2 linked regions of the Xenopus tropicalis genome follow. Each later gene encodes a partner of the first gene's protein in a complex. Links are inferred from orthologs where the notes say so. Each region holds a gene or a part of one and is shown on either strand. Other genes may lie near its edges.

The links.
Region 2: the proteins of oprm1 (region 1) and pomc are in contact, whole or in part, in a cryo-EM structure (PDB 8F7Q), measured with the Homo sapiens proteins. The link is inferred for Xenopus tropicalis from reciprocal best matches to the Homo sapiens genes OPRM1 and POMC. Residues at the interface, in NP_000905.3 of Homo sapiens: Ser66, Met67, Ala70, Ile71, Met74, Gln126, Asn129, Tyr130, Leu131, Met132, Gly133, Trp135, Val145, Ile146, Asp149, Tyr150, Met153, Arg213, Ile217, Asp218, Cys219, Thr220, Glu231, Lys235, Val238, Ile298, Val302, Lys305, Trp320, Ile324; in NP_000930.1 of Homo sapiens: Tyr237, Gly238, Gly239, Phe240, Met241, Thr242, Ser243, Glu244, Lys245, Thr248, Pro249, Leu250, Val251, Leu253.

The regions. Positions count from the first base shown.
Region 1 is NC_030681.2:43,442,140-43,446,578, reverse strand, and holds the start of oprm1 (mu-type opioid receptor), read right to left. Parts: upstream 2,816-4,439; 5' UTR 2,327-2,815; coding exon 2,040-2,326; intron 1-2,039. UniProt on the Homo sapiens protein: Receptor for endogenous opioids such as beta-endorphin and endomorphin. Receptor for natural and synthetic opioids including morphine, heroin, DAMGO, fentanyl, etorphine, buprenorphin and methadone.
Region 2 is NC_030681.2:153,208,618-153,213,214, forward strand, and holds the start of pomc (pro-opiomelanocortin precursor), read right to left. Parts: upstream 2,957-4,597; 5' UTR 2,918-2,956; intron 1-2,917.

The sequences.
Region 1 (4,439 bases):
GAGGATGAAGTTTCTTATTCACTCAGCACTTTGCCCCTGGGGTATAACTGTGCTCTGCACTGGCAGGAACATGGCAGCCCATTTAGGGGGCAGGTAGTGAGTGGGAAGGTGGACACCTTCTTGCCTTCCTCAGGCAACCCTTTATAAATATGGTGCTGCTAAAGACAGGCAGTACTGCATTAATCCAAAAAGAGTCAGGTCTTTAGGTGACCATGACTAGGCACCCTGCTCCACTGATTGTCAATGAGCCCTTAGGTGTCCTGTTGTGGAAGAATAAAGGAAAATATACAAGGCACAGGTTTATTAGCTCCTGATAAAATTGACCATAGTGTGTGATTGCAATCAAGACTAGATTGTAAGCTCTGTAAGCATTGGGGCAGGGACTGTTAGGAATAATGTATAATCATTGTAAAAGCATTGCGGAATATGTTGTATTGACTAATAATACAGGTAAATAAAGGAAAAATGCACATAAAGTAACACAAAAATAATGTTTATTCTAAAGCCAAATAATCTTCAAGGCCTTGCACTCTGACACTCTAATGAAGCATCTAGTGCTGACTTGGCACACCAAGATATGTCGCTTGTATATAGTACATGTGCACAGAATTAGAATTAAGCAACAGCCTACTTGTATGACTGGCCCCTTGGTGCAAACCACCAACATAAAACAAAAAAATGGACAGAATGCTTTTGTTTGCTATTTTTTTCCAGTTCAATGTTATTAGCCACAATGGCTTGGTCTGGAAAACGTACTCCCTGATTCCTGTTAAGGATGTCACTATCACTTCCAATAGATGGCACTGTGTACATATTGATACTGTTTCACTGATCATTATAGGTATAGGAAAAGTTATATGTAATAAAACTACTTTAATTAACAGCAATGTCTTTATCTCTCTGTAGCAACACCTATACTATACTGTATTGATAATGGGAACAAAATGATTCTATCATCTCTAAGTTCATCTATTGCTTTATTTTAACAGAAGCTTGATAAGTGATATTTATTATCCAAAAATAATCTAAGTGCTCCTGGCATCAAGCCTTTGATGAGCGTGTGTACGATTTAGCAGGGGAAGAGGGACCTGTGGGAAGGTTGGCTCTAGGGCAGGTCCACTGGGCACAGGGAAACTTTATATTCATTTCAACATAGAGGAAGACCATGGATCTAGATGGGAAGTATTGTACTTTATGCACCTTCTCTAGTAGTAGGGAAAAGGCACCCACTGTATGATACTTGTGGAACACAGGATAGTATATACATCTGTGCAAATACATATGATCATTGCTTCTTAATGAAACAATTCACATTGCTAGTGTTTGATTTGATCACATCCCCTTTCCTCCCAAGAGTTTGCAATGAGTGGGTTTCCCAATGTACTGTGTGATACAGTGTTATAGTGAATCCACTTAAATAATACATGATCTCTAGTAAGTAGCAATTAGCGACAGTAATCCCACTGCCTGCGAGAGACATCAGACTGCGAAATGCCAGGGTGGGGTGCCAGGCATGAAGGAAGGGGCACTGGCTTAAGCCCTTACCTGACAATGACATACATGATCAGGAGTCAAGTGTTTACCTGACAACTACATACATGATCAGGAGTCAAGTGCTTACCATACAACTACATACATGATCAGGAGTCAAGTGCTTACCATACAACTACATACATGATCAGGAGTGAAGTGTTTACCTGACAACTACATACATGATCAGGAGTCAAGTGTTTACCTAACAACTACATACATGATCAGGAGTCAAGTGTTTACCTGACAACTACATACATGATCAGGAGTCAAGTGTTTACCTGACAACTACATACATGATCAGGAGTCAAGTGTTTACCTGACAACTACATACATGATCAAGAGTGAAGTGCTTACCTGACAATGACATACATGATCAGGAGTCAAGTGCTTACCATACAACTACATACATGATCAGGAGTCAAGTGCTTACCATACAACTACATACATGATCAGGAGTCAAGTGCTTACCATACAACTACATACATGATCAGGAGTGAAGTGCTTACCTGACAATGACATACATGACCAAGACGTTGCCAAAGAGTCCCATCACACAGATCATGGAGTAGAGAGCGGTGATGATGATGGCTATAATAATGGAATCGCTGTCCTCCGGGAAAGTCTCTGACTGGTTGCACAAGTATGACTGGTTGCCTTCCAGTCTGCTCCAGTTGCCCATGCCGCCAACCGGACATATCATTGGAATCTGAGAGCCATTGTCACCCAAGCCGCTAAGGGTGCTATTGAGCAGGCTGTCGGCAGATCGAAGGGAGCTGTTCGGGGTACCGTCCATTTTGAGCTTAGCGAGTGCTAGTTTGGTGCTAAGAGGCGCTAGGATGTGAGCGCTGGATGTAGAGTGGCTCCAATGAGGCTCTCCTCCTCCTCCTCCTCCCCCCGCACTGCTGCCCCTTCTGCTCTCCCCCCTCTCCTGTCAGTCACAGAGAAAGCGCTCAGCCAGCTGCAAGGGGCCAGGGAGCGGGCAAGGAGGGTGATAGCAAAGCGCTGGGAAAGCGCAAGGAATGGCTGTACCCAACAGTGCGAGAGCCGTGCGTGTCTTCTCTTCCAGGCATTAATCCTCCACTTCTAGTCCCCTCTGCATCCACCTATTATATACACCCCGCCTCTTCTCTTCTCCTCACCGCCAGCAGCCACCGCACCAGCAGCCCCATTAGCCTCCCCGCCGCCGTCAGGCGCTAATTGACTCGCACTAACACTGCCCAGCTCCGCTAATAATGAGTCGCTTGCTCATCTGACGTTGGGCTACAAAGAGTTAAACAAAGGAGTACAGACTCAGCACCAACCCATACACCCTACTAACTACCTCTATCAGCACAGTACTACCAAACCATATACACCACCTTATACACACTCACCAACCCATACACACTGCCAACCCCACTCACCAACCCATACACACTGCCAACCCCACTCACCAACCCATACACACTGCCAACCCCACTCACCAACCCATACACACTGCCAACCCCACTCACCAACCCATACACACACTACTAACCCCACTCACCAACCCATACACACTGCCAACCCCACTCACCAACCCATACACACTACCAACCCCACTCACCAACCCATACACACTGCCAACCCCACTCACCAACCCATACACACTACCAACCCCACTCACCAACCCATACACACATCCAACCCCACTCACCAACCCATACACACTACCAACCCCACTCACCAACCCATACACACTGCTAACCCCACTCACCAACCCATACACACTACCAACCCCACTCACCAACCCATACACACTGCCAACCCCACTCACCAACCCATACACACTGTTAACCCCACTCACCAACCCATACACACTACCAACCCCACTCACCAACCCATACACACTACCAACCCCACTCACCATCCCATACATACTACCAACCCCACTCACCAACCCATACACACTGCCAACCCCACTCACCAACCCATACACACACTACTAACCCCACTCACCAACCCATACACACACTACTAACCCCACTCACCAACCCATACACACACTACTAACCCCACTCACCAAACCATACACACACTACTAACCCCACTCACCAACCCATACACACACTACTAACCCCACTCACCAAACCATACACACACTACTAACCCCACTAACCAACCAATAAACACACTACTAACCCCACTCACCAACCCATACACACTTACTAGCTTACCAACACACACATACTTGCTGCCTCTACCAACACACATAATATTTTTCATTATTTGTTAATCCCTTGGAATTTAAATGACAAGACAGATGTGAGACAAAAAATGGCATGAGATGAGCTTGTTTTACTGACTCCGCTACAAACCACTGCTCTGCCATAGCCTGGTCAGGTGTGGGTGGGGGTGCCTATCTGGTTTATTGTACAGTTCATAGGGGTCAGTTATTCTGCCTTTATTTCACAACATGATTCAAATAAAAATAATATCCTTATCATTTCCCTGGCCTTTATCTGCAGCAAGAGGAAAAGCTATATGTAATCCTTTCTCACACCTTCACAAGCTTGGTGCCCAGGAATAGCTTGCTTTCTGCACTTTCTGAAATATGTTGTGATTAGGAAGACACCAACACGCTTGCTTTCTTTCTTTCTTTCTTTCTTTCACACATAGTAGATTATTAGATTTCAGGTGTATTCAGTCCTGATTGCAGGTAAACTGGAAATACTTTATAATGCACAGCCTTTGAGTTGGCTGATATCAACTTGATTCAGACCCTTCCTTGCCCAATCTTTGCACTACAGTAACCCTGCTTCCAGGAGATTTGCCCAAGGGTGCATGTGTTATAGAACTCTGTTCTCCTAGGGAAAGCATGCAACCAGTAAACAGAGGAAGCTTCAGAAGTCAAAGGTGAAAACAGAGAGTTGAAATCAAAGCAACTT
Region 2 (4,597 bases), about 110 Mb from region 1:
GATAAAAAAGCTTATGAATGTATATAATTATATTATGAATATACTCTTTTTGTGTAGCTTTTTGCTTTCATTCTTACCCCATAAAAGACTTGTATAGAGAGATAGATACATAGGATAAAGAATGAAGGTAAAAAACTTTTAGTCCCTTGTCCAATACAACTGTAAGTGAGTCAAAATAATACATTTTATTATATATTTTATATAGAAAATGAATGAATGGGTTGTGTTTCTAATAGGATCTGTTGTTCTTGTGTTTTCACTTTCATTCTGTTACCCCAAACACATACACACACATATATACATATATATATACTGCATATATATATATATATATGGGAAAAAGAATGACAGTGAAAAACGTTTAGTCCCTTGTGTAATAAAACTATAATTAAATCCAAATAACACATTGGACATAATCTGTATAACTTGCTTGGAATTAAACAACTCTAACGCCGGTGTAGGATACACATTACATATACAGTAAGTTTATCAGAGCCAATAAAACTCACCAAATAAAGAGATAAAAAAGAATAAATATTGATAAGAGGGTTTGAAGAATAACCTTGGTGCCTTTGTATGAATTGTATGGAGCCCCGCGCTGCGCAGCCATTCAGCTCCAACTTCAAACTGTTCTACAGTAAAGTGTTTTCATTGCTGCGACGTTATTGAATAAATATGTGTGTGAGTGTATATATATATATATATTTACTTATTTATTTATATATGTGTGTCTCTGCATTAACCAGTTGCTGCCATGATAGATTCAGTTAACTATAAACTATTTTAGTTGGGATCAAGTACAGGTACTGTTTTATTATTACAGAGAAAAGGGAATCATTTAACCATGAAATAAACCCAATAGGGCTGTTCTGCCCCAATAAGGGGTAATTATATCTTAGTTGGGATCAAGTACAGGTACTGTTTTATTATTACAGAGAAAAGGGAATCATTTAACCATGAAATAAACCCAATAGGGCTGTTCTGCCCCCAATAAGGGGTAATTATATCTTAGTTGGGATCAAGTACAGGTACTGTTTTATTATTACAGAGAAAAGGGAATCATTTAACCATTAAATAAACCCAATAGGGCTGTTCTGCCCCCAATAAGGGGTAATTATATCTTAGTTGGGATCAAGTACAGGTACTGTTTTATTATTACAGAGAAAAGGGAATCATTTAACCATTAAATAAACCCAATAGGGTTGTTCTGCCCCCAATAAGGGGTAATTATATCTTAGTTGGGATCAAATACATGTACTGTTTTATTATTACAGAGAAAAGGGAATCATTTAACCATGAAATAAACCCAATAGGGCTGTTCTGCCCCCAATAAGGGGTAATTATATCTTAGTTGGGATCAAGTACAGGTACTGTTTTATTATTACAGAGAAAAGGGAATCATTTAACCATTAAATAAACCCAATAGGGCTGTTCTGCCCCCAATAAGGGGTAATTATATCTTAGTTGGGATCAAGTACAGGTACTGTTTTATTATTACAGAGAAAAGGGAATCATTTAACCATGAAATAAACCCAATAGGACTGTTCTGCCCCAATAAGGGGTAATTATATCTTAGTTGGGATCAAGTACAGGTACTGTTTTATTATTACAGAGAAAAGGGAATCATTTAACCATGAAATAAACCCAATAGGGCTGTTCTGCCCCAATAAGGGGTAATTATATCTTAGTTGGGATCAAGTACAGGTACTGTTTTATTATTACAGAGAAAAGGGAATCATTTAACCATGAAATAAACCCAATAGGACTGTTCTGCCCCAATAAGGGGTAATTATATCTTAGTTGGGATCAAGTACAGGTACTGTTTTATTATTACAGAGAAAAGGGAATCATTTAACCATTAAATAAACCCAATAGGACTGTTCTGCCCCAATAAGGGGTAATTATATCTTAGTTGGGATCAAGTACAGGTACTGTTTTATTATTACAGAGAAAAGGGAATCATTTAACCATTAAATAAACCCAATAGGGCTGTTCTGCCCCAATAAGGGGTAATTATATCTTAGTTGGGATCAAGTACAGGTACTGTTTTATTATTACAGAGAAAAGGGAATCATTTAACCATGAAATAAACCCAATAGGGCTGTTCTGCCCCAATAAGGGGTAATTATATCTTAGTTGGGATCAAGTACAGGTACTGTTTTATTATTACAGAGAAAAGGGAATCATTTAACCATTAAATAAACCCAATAGGGCTGTTCTGCCCCAATAAGGGGTAATTATATCTTAGTTGGGATCAAGTACAGGTACTGTTTTATTATTACAGAGAAAAGGGAATCATTTAACCATTAAATAAACCCAATAGGGCTGTTCTGCCCCAATAAGGGGTAATTATATCTTAGTTGGGATCAAGTACAGGTACTGTTTTATTATTACAGAGAAAAGGAAATCATTTAAACATTAAATAAACCCAATAGGGCTGTTCTGCCCCAATAAGGGGTAATTATATCTTAGTTGGGATCAAGTACAGGTACTGTTTTATTATTACAGAAAAAACAGGAAAACATATTTTAAAATTTGATTAAAAAGGAGTCTATCTGTAATTTGGAGCTGGATAACGGATCCTATACCTGTATTACAAAATCGTTAAAACCATTTTAGATTTTAAAACTGCTATATTTACACATATTATTACATTTAAAAGCCATTAAAAATTGTTTCATGTCATTATTTAATATCGTTGCCCATGAAATTGCAATGCAGTACATTTTTGAAAACACAGATAAAAGAAGAGCAAACGAAGAGGGAACCTGTTTCAATAAAAGAATATTAAATATTTTTGGGGGGGCTTTTTCTAAACTTTAAAAAATCAAAAGGAATAAAGTAGAGGCAGGGGAAGGCTTAGGTATAAGCAATGTATGAGGAAAGGGAGACTGTATGTGGGAAAGGGCTTTCTTACCTGTTGATTTCAGTATTTCCAAGCTGTGCACTTCTTTGCCTGTGTCCTTCTCTCATCTCCAGGGCTGGTCTTTATATACCACATTTTAGCATTGTCTAGGGGGGAGAAGGGAACGGAGGATCTTCCGGACAGACCTTTCCCAGCAGAAGAGGAGGAGGAGGAGAAAAGTCAGGGTATAAGGTTGCATGTAAGAGACAGAACGGATGATTAGGAAAGAAAAGGTTGCTGGAAAGTCATGTACATGATATCTCCGTGGACAACAGGGATTAGCACCTTCCCTATAGAAAGACAAAGGTTCCCCAATCCCCCGGGATTGAACTTTTTTAACGGAGATTAATTAGAAGCTATTCACCCTTTGCAGTTGGCATTAAATAGCAATAAATGATCAAGGCAAATACGTAAATGGTGTATTCTGAGCGGGTTGAACCCAATTGGTTTTGCTACTCTTTAATTAGGGTGACGGCCAGTTTCCATCTAATAGGGAAAAGCCACTAAAGGAACAGGTGTTGGTCAGAAAGGGCATTTACATGGGGATCAGGGGGGTCAATTGCCTCTATCCACCCTAACAGAATCCACAACAGGTCTTGATTGCGTCGACTACATGTATCAGAAATATCAGGAGTATTGGAAAACGGGTCCCATATTGAACTCTTTAACATGGGCTAAAGAAGCAAAAGTTACTTTTACTACACAGTGGGACAGACTACTAGTTACATATCATTGGCCTTATAGCAAGAAAAAAAGAATAAGTTGAACAAAATTGAAGAAAATGCTATTATAAATTGTAACTATTGAAGCTCTTTCAGTGTTTTCTTTCGTTCCTGTTTCAGGATGGCAGTTGCTCATCTAAATTTGGACTTTCTAAAGTCATGGTTGGCCTTGTACTAGTGGGGTGGGACAGTAGGGTGGGACAGTATGTTGGGACAGTAGGGTGGGACAGTATGTTGGGACAGTAGGGTGGGACAGTAGGGTGGATGGAGTGGGACAGTGGGGTGGGCCAATAGGGTGGAGCAGTGGGGTGGGAAAGTAGGGTGGGACAGTATGTTGGGACAGTAGGGTGGGACAGTATGTTGGGACAGTAGGGTGGGACAGTAGGGTGGGACAGTAGGGTGGGACAGTAGGGTGGGACAGTAGGGTGGATGGAGTGGGACAGTGGGGTGGGCCAATAGGGTGGAGCAGTGGAGTGGGACAGTAGGGTGGGACAGTGGGGTGGGACAGTAGGGTGGGACAGTGGAGTGGGACAGTAGGGTGGGACAGTGGGGCGGGACAGTAGGGTGGGACAGTGGGGTGGGACAGTGGGGTGGGACAGTAGGGTGGGACAGTGGGGTGGGACAGTAGGGTGGGACAGTGGGGTGGGAGAGTGGGGTGGGACAGTAGGGTGGGACAGTAGGGTGGGACAGTGGGACGGGACAGTAGGGTGGGACAGTATGTTGGGACAGTAGGGTGGGACAGTAGGGTGGATGGAGTGGGACAGTGGGGTGGGCCAATAGGGTGGAGCAGTGGGGTGGGAAAGTAGGGTGGGACAGTATGTTGGGACAGTAGGGTGGGACAGTATGTTGGGACAGTAGGGTGGGACAGTAGGGTGGGACAGTAGGGTGGGACAGTAGGGTGGATGGAGTGGGACAGTGGGGTGGGCCAATAGGGTGGAGCAGTGGAGTGGGACAGTAGGGTGGGACAGTG